2 linked regions of the Drosophila melanogaster genome follow. The protein of the gene in region 1 interacts with the protein of each later gene in a biochemical or structural test. Each region holds a gene or a part of one and is shown on either strand. Other genes may lie near its edges.

The links.
Region 2: of the proteins of foxo (region 1) and Lrrk, one has a biochemical effect on the other in vitro, tested with the Drosophila melanogaster proteins (one study listed by BioGRID).

What each region holds. Positions count from the first base shown.
Region 1 is NT_033777.3:14,053,127-14,061,917, reverse strand, and holds the start of foxo (forkhead box, sub-group O), read right to left. Parts: upstream 4,974-8,791; 5' UTR 4,894-4,973; exon of another isoform or gene 4,490-4,893; intron 4,178-4,489; 5' UTR 3,811-4,177; intron 1-3,810. UniProt on the Drosophila melanogaster protein: Transcription factor involved in the regulation of the insulin signaling pathway. Consistently activates both the downstream target Thor\d4EBP and the feedback control target InR.
Region 2 is NT_033777.3:20,633,668-20,640,471, forward strand, and holds the start of Lrrk (Leucine-rich repeat kinase), read left to right. Parts: upstream 1-1,812; 5' UTR 1,813-1,970; coding exon 1,971-1,989; intron 1,990-2,148; coding exon 2,149-2,421; intron 2,422-2,431; exon of another isoform or gene 2,432-2,520; coding exon of another isoform or gene 2,521-2,608; intron 2,609-2,673; coding exon 2,674-2,833; intron 2,834-2,895; coding exon 2,896-4,155; intron 4,156-4,211; coding exon 4,212-6,086; intron 6,087-6,146; coding exon 6,147-6,632; intron 6,633-6,701; coding exon 6,702-6,804.

The DNA.
Region 1 (8,791 bases):
GAAAGGTGTCCGCCAGATGCTCCTTGATTGCAAGAACCCTCGACTTCGGCGAACGAACCATGTGATTTCTTGTGCCTTGAGACTGGACCATCTCGTGGTGCCCCTGAATCTCAGGTATGGCCCTTCCTCACCCTTCCTCCCATGCTGCTGCTCAACGCTGTACCTGCCCCTCTCATCACACATGACCGGGTTCAGCAATGTGGAAGTAAAAGAGATCTACACCCCAGCAGCCAGCAGCACAACCCGTCAAACAGGATTATAAAGCAAAGTAAGTCAATGCGAGAAAAGCCCGATGCTCGGCCAAAAAAAAAAAAGAAGAAAAAATCGAAAAACGAAAAGAAAAAAACCAAAAACAGAGAAAATAAAAAGCAAGACTGACAGCTGGTCGTCGATGAGGAGGTAGGTATTCGAGCAGCACAGCAACTGGTATGGTCTGAACCAATCTGGTCCGGTCTACCCTGCCTAATGAGCCGACTTCGAGATGAAGAGGACGGCGGCGACGACGACGACGACGACAACGGCGACGGTATCAATCCCAAAGCCCAGGTTCGGTTCCAGGCCCATGATCTCAAGTACCTCGCGACCCCATGATGATCATAATAATGACGATGGCGCGGTGACGATGACGAGGCCACATCGAACCCACTTGTCGGCCACTCCGGTGTGCCGGGGATCTCAAAATGTGTGTGCTGTGCTGTGTCACCCTCCATAAAACCGAACGACCTTTGCCTTCGAAAGTGAATTATGCCCAGCAATATCAACTCGTCATGGACTAACCTGCTGATAAAGCAATATAACGCGAGAGCGACGAGTTCGGCTTGCCAAGGGACTAGTTATAACTTCAGGTTAAAACGGTACATGGGCGAACTTCCGGTTAAAGGAAAGTTAAGCCTAATATTGAAAAAAAATCGACTTAAAATTATATTGGTCTGGTATTATTATTATAATCTTACAGTAAAAGTTTGATCGGGCTTTAAGTGTTTTTGTGTTAAGTTAAGCTTCCTTTTTTGTTGAATAAAAAATATAATTGATTCACTTTTCTAATTTCACTTTAAAGGTTTTCAACTTCGCAACTCCCTGTAATAATTCCCAATAATTCCCTGTCGACACTTTGTGCTGTCGCTTTTTTTCCGAGTGCGTTCTTATCACGCAACCCCAAAGATAAAGAAGCGATAAAGAGCTGAAACGAAAGCAATGCACATCATATTTATGCACTCCCCGCCAGCCAGCAACTGTTGCCATGTGGAGCAGCAGCTCCACTCGCCGGCACCCGTTTCTATCTGTTTGTATCCCTCTCCCTCTGTGGCGACCAGCTGCTTATCGCGGTGGGCACCCTCCAAACCTCTGACCCCAAGCAACGCCACAATAACCCCTTTACAATGCCAAGCATAAACCTTGGACAACAAATCTTTTTTGTGGCACTTTCAATCTGCGCTCTTTTTCATATTATTTGTACTGTGCTTTAATTGTTGGTTTTCTGTACCACTGCGTTTTTGCTTGATATTAAAGTTAGTTTTGGGAAATAAATAACAATAATTTATATGTGTATATATTAATCATTGGAAAGTGACTAAGACTTAGGAATCTGGTAATGCAGTGATTGAAAATGATATATTAAGACATTTTTGTGAGCTCAGTCGGGCCCTAATGCACTTTCCAGCTATTTTGCATGATTTTCCTATTAACTTGGCATTAGAAAATCCACAAGGAGATGCCATGTCAGTCATTGCATTCTGGTTTTTTCTACGCTGTTAATATTTAATAATTTATTAAGTCAATTATCGCGGAAGCTTATTCAAATAAAAGCTTATTGAAAGTGCAGTTATCTGGCGGCACGTGGATCTGCGAGAGAATCACGCGCTTCTAGAGCAACTAAGAGAAATAGAGAATTACATATATATAAATGAATACATATGTAGATTTCTATATATTTATATATACATATACATATACATATATATCGCTATATAGAGAAGGAGAGGCCCGACCAGGCAATGTGCAATAGTTCAGAATGCAGCGAGTGCGAACGCAAATGCAAATGAACGGCAGAGGCCCTGCAATGTTTATTGAATTCATTACAATAATTAAAGAGCAAACGAACGATTCGATTCCACTCGACCGATGGCGAAGTCAACCAGGAACGTAGAGCCCCCAAACGGCGATCTTCGATTGACAGCTGGGACAACTGACGCATGGAAATCATGGATGGGATCATCTGACTTCGCAAACGCAATCGATTTGCATTACTAACGTTTTTGGGGTCGGCGCGAAAAACGAAATAAATTAAGCAAAAAGAAGCGTTCGAAAAAAAGTTCTACACATCTGAGTAGAATATTTAAAAATCACAAAATAATACTAAGAAATAACTACTGGTATTCCGACTATATCTTTCTAAACAAAACAATATGTAGTGGCTCTCATTTAATGATCATTAAATTTCCATTACTAACGTTTTTCGGTTATCGGTAAAATCGACATTATCGATATAACTTATCGTCATTCTCAAACGAGCTTATTAGTAAGAGCTTTACTAATTCTTGAAGAATACTAGAATACGAAGAATACGTTTAATGTTGTCTCTCAAAATTAATTGACTTCCCGGTTTCCCTGCTTCAATTACAGCTTTTTAGACAAACTTTCGCACACTTTCTTGTTATCAACTGGCACGTTCCACCAATGTGGCTAGCAAACACTCAAGATATGATAAAAGTCACAATCGCAAGCACATAGGACGACTATACAGATGTGTGTATAGGCTTATATGTACACTTTTTTTGGGCCATCAGCTGCTGTTGTACCTTGGCACATTGCGAATAGATAAAAGCCTTATCTGTAAATGGGGAATAAAAAAGCCTCTTTCGACAGCTAACCGAGTGGCGAATCAACCCATTTATGAAAATTAAACCTAATCACATTTCAATGTCAATACTGATGTCAAGAGAATATTCAAAAGCATCTGAAAACGGTGCGTATACGAGATCGCTGGCAAAATATGGCAACAAAATCGACCTTAGTGGATCGCATACGAAAATCGGGGGAGCAAACAAACACAGAACGAAAGAAATGAGCTCCACGCAAACGACACACGCTTCAAGCTCTGCTATCAGTGTGGCGCTGGGGCTCTATTTTTAGAGCCATTATCAGCGCTGCTCTAATTAAGATCTCCCCTGCCCACTCCCATGACAAGTAACACACCAAAACGGACTAATCAAAACCCACACGAACTGAAAGATCATCTATTGGAGCGACACTGCAGCGCCGAACGTGACCGACTTTATGATTCTAGTCGTTTTGATCTTGAAAGTGAAACTAGGAATTACTCGAATAAGGTTATAAATCACATTCCCTATCGGTTGTATTAAAATTTGGGTCGTAAATTCAATAGATGTGACTACTTTAACACAACAAAAAGTCCAGCTTTCCTATCTAAAATTCTAAACACCAATATAAATAAAAGAACCTAACTCTAGTTTCTATTAAACCTCTTAACTTTTATCAAAGCTTATTTTTATAAATATAGCAATAGCAATTTATATTGGAAATATTTCACGGAAGAATGAATATTTTATTGTGGCGACTAAAAAAAATGTTGTTGTAATCAACATAAAATACCATTTAATTTAAATTTTAATTGATGTGTAGGAAAGCACTGCTTCAATTACTTTTTTAATCGCGTGACGAAACAAAATTTGACTTTTAGAATATTTCAATCAATTGCCGATTAGATTCGAATCGAATTTAGGAACTTAAAAAACATGACATTTTTCATTCAATCAAGTACACCTACTCGTAATTGTTAATAATATTTACCCGCCAAATGTTTGCAATGGGAAATAGCTGGCTAATTTGTTGCTCCTTGTTGATTGCGATTTAAAAAATTGTTGATTTTGCCGGTGGGATTTGTTGATCGCCGTTTGCTGTTGTTAACTGGCACTGTTTTACTTTATTTTCCTGGTTGCTTTGCACTTTTTTATGGGTTTGTTTTTTTTTTATGGGTAGTATATATGATTGTGTTGTTGTTTTGAGCGAAACTTGTGCGGATTTCTTGATTTTTAGTGGTTATTTAAATATATACATATATATTTTTTAGAATTCTGTTGGCATAATTTTCTGCTCACACACACACACACTCATTAAATGGGTTTCTTGTTGTTGCTGGGCGGCGGTTTTGCTTAAGCTAAAGACGATTGTAAAAACGGTAAATTAGAATATATATATAACAACAATCAAAATAAACAAATAAAAAGAGCGCGAAGAGAGCGGCGCGATTAAAGAGCGTAGTGTGTGTATGTGTGTGTGCCGAAGAAAGAGAGGGAGAGAGCGAAGAGAGCGATCACGTCACGTCATCAATTCATGCCAATTGGACGCACACACAACACTTAATTGGAATTCGTATGAGAATTCAATGAAAACCGTGCGGCGCAGTCGAAAAGTTGTTTAAAGTTCAAATGGGTAAAAAATTTTAATATAAACACGTTTCGGAGCTTACTCCAATTCGCTTTTTATTCGCCACTAGTGTGCGTAACGTATTTTATGTGCCATATAGTAGGTACATATGTATGTATTTGTATGTACAACGTGACTGCTACGAAGATCATCCAAGCATCGCTATTTAATACGTTTTGGAGCTTTTCTCTTATTTTATACGATTGTCGTATGTAAAAAACGAACGCGTTCCTTCTACGTTTCAGTTTTGAGTTCGGCACATTCACATGTTTTGAAAGCGAAACATATTTATTTTCCACTTTCTTGATTTGTTTCTACATTTGCGTTTTAGAATCAACGGTGTTCGGCCCCAAACGATTTGGGCCTCAAAAGATCACTGCGTTTTTTGCATTGGTTTATATTTGCTTTGCTTGAAGTTGAAAAGGAAAACGATGAACGATGAACGACCTCGTGGCTTTTAACCGCAAGCGAAAAAACACAGACTACTCGTTAACTGCTTTCTAGTTGGATGCGAACTGACAACTGAAACTGATTCGCCGTCGCCTTCGTAAAAGTGTTCGTTTCGGCGGCGCAAAAAGGCGGTCTGTGCGTGTGTGTGTGCGACCTATGTCCGCGTATGTGAGAGCTTGCTCTTAGCATCCACTCACGTTCCACAACCGCTCACTTCACCGCTTTTTTATGTTTGTGGCGCGCTTCGTCTCACACACTCTCACACACTTGGGGCCAAAAAATTAGTGGGGTATGCCAAATCGATATGTTTTATTTGAGTATTTTCTGCGTGAAATAAGAGAAGTTATAGCTATAGCTATAAATGCAATAGATATTTTAAATCTTAAAGCATACAAATTTCTCTCTTTAAGGGATATTAACCCCAACTAAATGATAATTCGTATAAAATAAAAAAGGAATTGTTTCAATACTTACAAATTTAATAATATAAAACTTAATCTATTTATTTTTAATAACGGGTGACTGTTTTAATGAAAAGAATAAAGTTCAGCTGCAGTGAAACATTTAAGACGTCATTGCATATTAATAACAATTTGAAAAGTATTCATTATAAAAAACATGTTATTCACTATTGAGGTGACCGCCTTTGTGCCCCCGTCAATATTAATAAATAAAAGCCATAGTTTACCTATTTTATACATTTGGAATTTAAATTGTTTCTTTTCATTTCGGTCGCGCTGCTCTGAACTCGAAATTCTCGACGATGGAGGAAAGGGAACGGCGGCGGTGGGTGGTGGTTGGGCGTTTTGGGTGGGGTGATGGGGCGGTCGGCATTGCTGATAAGGCAGCCGTTATCTCGCGATTGTCGCTCGCTCGTTCACTCAAGCTCTCTCTCTCCCTCCCTCTTTGAGGCTCCATTTCTCTCTTACGTTCATTGTCTCGTGATGCGATGGAAAATTTCCCGAAATTGCATTCTACTGATAATGCCAGCAATGCACATTTGTGCATATGAATATGGGACTCAGAAGTGCCCCGCATCTCTTGCAGTGTGCGAGCTTTTTGGGAGCATGTATTTTATGGTCAAAGTCCCCCGCATCCCCGACCACCGAAAAATAAGCCCCTCCCGGTGCCAGTTTTTTTTTTTTTTTTAATTTCATTTTTCGCCTAGGCCCGATATCTCTATACTTGTACACACGTTCGCGTCCATGAGAGTGTGTATCGGTGTTATTTTAATGTGCCTGCCACATAAATTCCGCAACATTACACGGCTAATGAAGTCTAGACGCTGAGGACGGAGAAACCAACAGTTTATGGATCATCCAAACTTAAAGACCGACCCGATGCGATCGTCTCGATCCCTCGAGAGGGGGGATTAGAAACGAGCCAAGGAGATGAGTTAAGGACTTTAGGGTGCATCTTGGCATATCTAGGATCTTAAAGATTTCAAATTTGCAGGCTTCATTGGGTAATTTTTTGTTAATTTGTAATTTTTCAGAATATTTTTATTGCTTAAAAAGCTCTTTTAGTTTTTTTTTGTTGTAAGATTATAGCTCTATTAAATAGGCCTCAAAGTCTGCAAAGTCCCGAGTTATGACAATAAAAGTTTGCATGTACATAGAGATTTTGGAATGCGAGAACAACAAGAAGATAAGTCCGCCAAAAGATACATATATATTTTAGAATGCTATTAAGTTGGCTTAAGAACGATAAGTAACACGTTGGTATAGGTAAGTTCCATCTGGAAGTGGGCTTATAAATCACTACTACCATTTAAATGAGCATGTAAATAGCATGTTAACTGGAGTATCAAATGAATTGAAGTTCTCAAGACTAATTTATGCGTTTGAATGATCAGATAAAAGTTAAAATCACTCGAGCAGTGTATCAATAGGCCGCCCACTTCCCATTCCATTCCATTGAAATTACACAGACGTTTCAGCTATCGCCAGCTAATACTTGATCATAATTGTCAGCGGCAAAAAAAAACAGAAAATATACAAAAATATGTATAGAGCGTTTCATTTGCGTTGGCGCGTGGCGAATGGCTAACTGTCGTCGCCGTCTCGGTCTCCGTCTCGTAATCACAACCAAATTTGACAAACTGGACACGCAAGGCACTAAACTCAGGTTTCAAACTGCGCGCCAAATCTCGAAAGGAGCTTTTCTGGGCGCCAGAGTGCCGAAAACGAAAGGGGTTCTTTCTACAAGCGACGCTCAAGTTTCAAAGGTCTCGAACTGCCTAAATGCTTGGCAAACTCTCTAGAACTAGATAGAACTAGATTTAGACCATTTTAAAAACTATTTAACTATAACTATTTAACTACATAAAAAAAGAACATTGTTTAACCGCAGCACATATCAAATAATTATTTAATTTCATTGCTATAAATGATAATCAGTTAAATACTCTGTAAATTACGTATACGCCCAGTTGTACAACCAGCTATCATCGTTATCAATACAGTTTATTAGATCTTAATAGCACTTAGTGAGTAGTGTGCAAAAAACATAAACGCCACCCTTTAGCAGGGCATTAGCACCAGATGCTCCGGCTAATTCGATCCAAAGTAAAGCCAGGCGATCCAAATCAAGTGGAGCCGATCCGGAGTGGCTCTACACACGCTTGGCCTTCAAAAAATTATAATTTCTGTTTTAATGTCTCGCCTGTGTTGGCATATCGTCGATGGATCGAAGGGGTTAATGGCAAGGGGGTGGTGGTATATTGCTATATTGGCATATTATAGCGGTCTCAAACTTGGACTCCAGTTGACTCGCCCGACGATTGTTTACCAGCAAAGACTGAGACAGTGTGTGTCTGTTTCATATGGAAATTTGAACACTGTTACTAACAATTTGTTAACTCAACCATTTTAGGCAGCCCTGCAAGTGTGAGATGGTGCGAGGGAGTAAGAAACACGATTGTTTTCCTAACTCGTTGGCAGCGATAGTAGAAATTGTGATTCCTAATTGATTTAGAAGTGGTTTATGCGCCAAAGAATACTAGATAATATATTTACTCAAATACATACATATACATATCAGTCACTATTAAAGCATTTCGCAATGGTGACCTAATACCGAACACCTCCCCAATAATCGCTTGATCAACTGTGGCCGAAACGGTATTTGCTGTGCCACTGCCACTTTGGCTAAAACGAGATTTTGTGACGTTGGTGTGTCGCTGTCGAAGTCGCACGCTGATGTTGATGGGGCGCTATCAAGACTCTAAAAGACACCCAACCAACATCAACTCTCGCTGGCAGGCGGAATTATGCTTATATGCTTATGTGCGCATGTGTTTGTCAAAAGCGAGCCCCCCTAATGTGGCCACATGGAATTCTGCGAGCAGTGGCGTACTCAGAAAGCGGGCTAAGGGGAGGGGCTTATTGGAAGTATACTAAAAATAAATAAGTTAGTTTCAGAGTAATAATTGATTCAATTATTAGTACGTTAATATTAATATCTAATACTTATAAAAATACTTTAAACCTCAACCCTCCCCCACTTCGTCGCCCATGTGAGCAGCAGACTCTGTAGACGGCGATGTGAAGGCTTTCGGGATGTCGTAGTACTGGACCCATTTCCAATAACTGTACCGGTTCGACTTCTCCAACCTCCCCCTTCCCTCCAACCACCGCCCCCCCCCCCCTCACGGTAGCGTGTGGCATTTAAAATGCAAAAATATCGCTTAAGCGTTATCTCTAATTTATTGAGATTAAGGAATACTGATTAATTTAACGACGTAATTGATGCAGCCGCGAAAGCGCACGACTTTCGATCGGCAAGCCGACACAAAACAGATACAGATACAGATACCCATACATATGCACAACGTACCTGCCCCCAGCCCTCTTTTCAGATCTTTTCACTGATTTCCACAGAGCATTCCTGTTGG
Region 2 (6,804 bases), 6.6 Mb from region 1:
ATTGTTGTTTTCAAAGTTTTCCATTTAAATCAGCACGCCAATCTCTCTGCGAATAAATAAGAAGGTGGCGCCGGGTTACTTGAAAGAAAACATATGGCGATATATGTACCGATAATTGTTTTGGTGTCGAATTACGGAAATTACTAAAAATCAACCGCCCACCCGTTGATAAGAAGGCGACCCCTTCCCTTGGCTTTGCCCTCGAGATGATCAGAGATCTGGATAACATCCATTGATGCACTGTAAAACTGAGTTGGTTCTAACCGCCCTTTACCACATGGGATAAAATAGAAAAGCAGCCTCTAAAATCGTCGGTTCTTGTTAATTAAAACAAAAACGCTGACTTTTATTTAGTATGAATCACACAGTCATAAGTTGTTGGCTGGGGGTGGGAGGGGTCAACTTGAAAACAAAAACAAGAATTCAGGGTCAGCCAAGGCGACCTATGAATGCCCTTACGTGTTTTTTTTTGCAATTTTAGGCAGTTGAATGACTGAAGTAAGCAGGATTTATAACGAATTCGATATGGCCGTTGAAAGAAAAGTTTCCATAATGAAAATCTAAGCCATTAAGGCATATTTCAGAGCCAAATGTTCAAATTCCGTGACCGAACGGGTGGAGTTGATACCGCGGAAAGGGTATAAAAAAGTTACGCGGCACCGATGTCTCATCTCTAAGTCGCGATGCCACAAAAATGGAAATTGCAGACAGTCAGAAAAGTCTTGAAAAGCACACGGATTGGCAAGTTTTCATCGAAGTTTCACTTGCATTGTGGCGCAGCTCGTTTGTTTTTGTTTTTTGCTTCCATTTTGGCCAGCCCTCGCCTTTATAGCGATTTTTTTTTGGGTGTGAGCTGCGCAGTTTACGCTGCTCCTTACTTGATTCTCTGCACCGGCACCTTCAGTTGGCCTCTGTCGGCCATTCCGCGGTATTGTTATTTTTCAAACGCACCGTGCAATCGGCTCAAATTTGTGTTCGATTAAGGAATATTAAATTGTTTTTATTTGTATTGTTGAGATCGTGCTGTTAAGCGTCTGTTAACGAACACAGGGTGACTCCTGTTGAACACAGGGCGTTCTAGGCTGGCGCTGGTTAATATCGATAGTGTTTCATTCGATTGTTATATCGATATAGGTTACAGTTGGCATCAGTATTTATAAAATATACACAAATACACGGTGCTAATAAATTCTTGTTCGTAAACAGTCATAACAGGAAATTGCATGTTAAAAAAAAAATAAATAAAAATAATTAACAGTTCCTAAGAATCAAATTCTTTTAGATAAAATCATAGCATACAAAATAAAATTCAACAAAAAGTAACAGTCGATAGTGATTCACTGCTTAACTGATTTAAATAATATCGATATTACTGTTGTTGAGTTGACAAGCAGTGCAAAGTAACAGAAACGATGACCACCTTATCGCGTTTTGGTATTTATATATGTATGCTATCAGAAATGAGATATTTCAGCATCAGTTGGGATTTCAAATATTTCACTTGGGAACAAATTTTTAGATGTGTATGAATAAAAATAATAAATGCGTCTTCCAAATACTTGTTCGGCCTTGTTAAATTAATTTTAATTTATAAATTTAAGCCAATGGACATAAAAATCAATGATTTTGGGTAGATTATGATTTAGTTATTAAGCTGGCTTTAATCTTTGGAGAAAAGTACGAAGCCCCCTGCGTGCGACACTGATTAACAGCATTCACTTGCGATATTTCGGTCACACAGAGCGCTTAACAGCATATCGTGCCAAAATGAGGAGATATATTCTAAAACAGTAAGAGGTTACACTGTTTGTTGACAAAAAGGTAAACAAAGTGAAAATTTCGCAAAATGTGCAAAATAATTAAGTAAGGGTCAGTAAAAGGTGCTACTGGTTAATCGGACCATAACAACTACCCATTTAACACATACCATGCATGACTTGGATATCTCGTGAAGTACACAAACCAAAACAATGAGCGACTCCGACGAAGGTGAGATAACACAACTTTTAGTGAAATTATGCACAATATGCTAGTTTTGCGCAAATTTAGTCAGAGTGCAAATGAGCATTATACGCTTGACTATGCAAATTACCTAAGTGGTGCAATTAAAACTTCAACCAGTTGTTATTGGTTTTTCAACAACACCAGCAAGGGCACAGGGTGACATTGGTGCAATGGAAGTGGGCGCGCAAAAACTTTTTTCAAACAGCCACCCCCCACAGAAGCAACTGGTGCAACCACTGGACCATCCGACACCCACGAAGAGACAAATCAAAACAAATGCCACGCACTCACCCAATGCCACATTCTTGAACAAGTGCAACAGTTGCCGCGCTTCTTGGGCTCCGACTTGCGCAGTGCGACATAAAACGGCCTGGATCAATGACCACAAAAACGTGGCCATCGATTTTCCGCAGTTCAGTTTTTGCTAGCGGCGCGTTCGGTCATCATACCGATGCCAATTAATTTTTGGGGCTTATTCGCACCGATTTGGGTTACATAATGTCATGGAAATTCAGCATGGAACATCCCAAAACTGGAACTGAAACAGCTCTGGAAGCCTGTGACTACTTCGTGGATGAGGTCATTGAGGCATCCTCAATACGGGGTGGGAATTGGTTTATTCCAAAGGTGCTGTGTATTAGTTAACCAAGCAAAACTTATCTTTCACAGATGCCCGCGAGGAAGTGCGTCAGATCAAGCACGGGGAGCTGCGAACGGCAGTGATCTCTGGCGATGAGCGGACTGTGCGGGTGCTGCTGGCAGCTCTTGGAACTGAGCGTCAGATTATAGTCAATATGGCTCCTTCAGGAGCAAACACCCTTCTATTCCTGTGAGAAAAAGTCTTTTAGAATTAGTCCATTTTGAGCCAAACTAATATCGGTCTCGTTTTAGAGCCTGCCAGTCTGGTTACGAGAGCATTACACAGCGATTGCTGGATGCTGGAGCGGATGGTCGCTCCCATGCCGTGACCAAGTACTCACCCTTGTACGCCGCCGTCCATAGCGGTCACTTGGGCATTGCCCGACTGATGCTAGACCATTTTCCAGAACTGATCCAGCAGCCGACTGTAGAGCGCTGGCTGCCGCTGCACGCCGCCTGCATCAATGGACACATCAAGCTGCTGGAACTCCTTATCAGCTACAGTTATCCCGACTACCTCTACCAGACATATCGCGACGAGGAGGGCCAGTGGGAATGGCGGCTCCCCTTCGACGCTAACGCTCATGATGTGACGGGTCAGACGAGTCTGTATATTGCCAGCATCCTAGGAAACAAGCAGCTGGTTGGTGTGCTTCTAAAGTGGCAGCTCCATTGCCGGCGTACGTTGGGCGATTCCGCCAGCTCGGTGAGCACTCCTATTACGCCCACCAGGAAACGTATTTCATTTGGCATTCAGGCTATCATGTCCAAACTGCACATATCTGGAGAGTCAGAAGGACCCGACGACCTAGCTTCACAAGAGTCAACCGAGTGCCAACGGTGTCCCATTAACGTGAATCTGCTATGTGGAGCGGCGAGAGAAACAGCTCTGCTTGCGGCCGTTCGAGGCGGCCACCTAGACGTGGTGCAGTCTCTGCTACAGCACGGCGCAAATCCGAATATTGTAGCCAAGCCAGTTGAGGATCACAACGACCCGAAATGTTGCGAGGAAATATATGGGCTCAGTAATGTCCCCATTGCAGAGGCCTGCAAGCAAAGGTCGCTGGCTATGTTGGATCTCTTGCTTAAGCATGGAGCCCGCGACGATAATGGCACGGCCATTGGAATGGCTATTACATGCGGCGACGAGGCCATCCTGAGTCGTCTTTTGGCCCGACGAGTCCATCCGGACTCAGACTACAAGATCAACAAGAAGGGTCTTCCCACACCAGTGGAGGTGAACGTGTTTTTGCCGTCCACCAGCAACATATCTTACAGTGCTATGTTCCCCAACAATCCAACCATTATTGACTGGCACAGCATGGGCTCCAGTGTCCAGTTGTCTGTTGTAAGGGTTCCCTGGATGGTCAGCGGTGTGTTGCTGCTGAATCCTAAGCTACAGTCGCATCCGCGACTTAATGAGGTTGCTCTGACAGCTATCACGCGAATAGATTTCTCGCACAACGTTCTCACGTCAATTCCACAGGAGCTTTTCCATTTGGTTAGCCTAAGGTTAGTAAAGACAAAGTAATAAGTTTTTCAAGAATTATATTAGTCCTTCATTTAAGGTATTTAAATGTGGCGCAAAACAAGATAACCGATCTACCTGCACCAATAGGCCAGACATATGGGTGTCCGGTACTGGATGAACTCTTTCTACAAGACAACCAGTTAACTACGCTGCCAGCCGCCATCTTTCACCTGCCCGCCCTATCTATATTGGATGTTTCAAATAACAAACTGCAACAGCTTCCCTTCGACCTGTGGCGTGCACCCAAGTTGCGCGAACTTAATGTGGCCTTCAACCTATTGCGGGATCTTCCTGTGCCGCCAATGCAAACTAGCAGTTCGCTGCTGAGCCTAGACAAATTGAATCTGCAATCTTTTGAGGAGCCGCCATCAAACAAACCGCGAAATGTGACTCAGCAACGTCTCACCCATCGCAATCTATGGTCGGCTACTTTGGACATAACCGATAATGACATGAAGTGGCAGCATGAACAAGATTTAGGCGATGGAAAGACAGCTGGTGTGGGCTCCTCCCAGCTAAGTAGCTTAAATATAGCAAATAACCTCTTCACCAGTATCCCCGCTGCTTTGCCCTGTCTGGCTGTAAACCTAACACGGCTGAATATGTCATACAACAGTCTGCGTTCTATGGGACATGTAACCAGTTACCCGGCAACACTTAAGCAGTTGGATCTAAGTCACAACGAGATATCCTGCTGGCCAAGTTTACCGCGAATTACTGAATCGGATCCGCATCTACTGTGCTACAGTTGTGTCCAGCTACCAGAGGGTCGAGATGACGACTACAAGACGGCCTCCTCAAAGGGCAGTAGCTCGTCTGCCACATCGTTTCGCGCTTCGGTGTTAAAAAGTGTTTGTCGGCACAGGCGTCATCTGCGCCTGGAGGCTCTACGCACATTGATCTTGGCTGACAATCTGCTTACGCGCATCCAACTATCAACTGATGACGCCACAACCCTTTTCAATGAAAGTGAGGACGCCGATTGGAGTGTGGTAGGCGTGAACCGGTCTAAGGTGATATTTCCCAACCTGTCTATGCTGGATATGACCAACAATTGCCTGAAGGAGATTCCCGCCTCGTTGCACGAACTGAGCAGTCTGTCAGTGCTGAATATTAGTGGCAACGTCAACATCACGGAACTGCCGCCGCACTTGGGACTGCTGTCGAGACTTTGGAATCTTAATACGCGCGGTTGCCTACTGCAGGAGCCACTGCGCTCTATGATCGAGAGCAAGAAGCACAAGACGATGGACATTGTTGGATATCTTAAATCTATTTACGAAGATGCTCAGCCCTACGCACGGATGAAACTGATGGTGGTTGGTGTGGCTGGAATTGGCAAGAGCACTCTGCTGGACTTACTGCGCCAGGGGGCGGGCTCAGGGTCCAGCTCCAGCTCTCATCGATCGCGCGCCAGCGAAAATCATTGGGCCAAGCGAATGGGACACGCACGCAGCACATCTCGATCTCATCGCCATTCGTCGGCTTCTAGCGCAAACATTTCTACAGTAGGAGTGGACATTGGAACATGGATATGTGAGAAACGAAAGCGAGCACCCGGCTCCCACGGCCCAGTGGTGTTTCGTACTTGGGATTTTGGTGGTCAGAAGGAGTACTACGCCACACATCAGTACTTTTTGTCCAAACGGAGTCTGTATTTGGTGCTCTGGCGCATTAGCGACGGTCACAAGGGTCTGGCGGAGTTGCTGCAGTGGCTTGGCAACATTCAAGCGAGGGCTCCCAACTCCCCCGTAATCATTGTGGGCACACACTTTGATGCCGTTGGTGAATCCATCTCGCCCCAAAAGGCAGAGCAACTGCAGCAATTGATTCGGGAGAAGTTTATCGCCATTCCCGATGCGGAAAAAATTGGGCTGCCACGGGTGATTGATTCCATCGAAATAAGTTGCCGGTAAGTTTTTGAATTATTAATATGACTTCAAAGTCTAAAAAATACCGCTTTGAACTTTAGGACCCTACACAATATCCACTTATTGGCCAACATTATTTACGACACCGCCATGCAACTGCGATCCCCTGGTTCCAAGGAGCCCATGCTACTGCAAAAGATCCCCGCCAGCTACATTGCCTTGGAGGATATTGTGAATGTGATTGCATGCAATCTGCGCGCTGCTGGGCGAGATCCCGTCCTGGATGGTGAACAATATAAGCGCTTGGTCACCGAACAGATGAGATTGCACAACTACAAGAGCTTCCGGGATGCCGCTGAGCTGCAGCAGGCCACTACATGGTGCCACGAAAATGGAGTTTTATTGCACTATGATGATGCTACGCTAAGGGACTACTACTTTCTCGATCCACAGTGGCTTTGCGACATGCTGGCCCATGTGGTCACCGTGCGGGAGATCAACCCCTTTGCTCCTACGGGCGTGATGAAGCTGGATGATCTCCAGATGTTGTTCCGAAGTGTGCAGGTTCAAGGAAATGGAAACAGAAGGTATTTAAATGAGTGTGCATAACTATGTGGTAAAGTATTTTTGTATTAATTAAAATTTCTTTCTTTAAGCTACATTGTCAGTCTACTTAACAAGTTTGAGGTTGCTTTAACGTGGGATTCGAGAACTCTACTCATACCCTCCTTACTGCCTTCGCAGGAGGCAGCTACACCC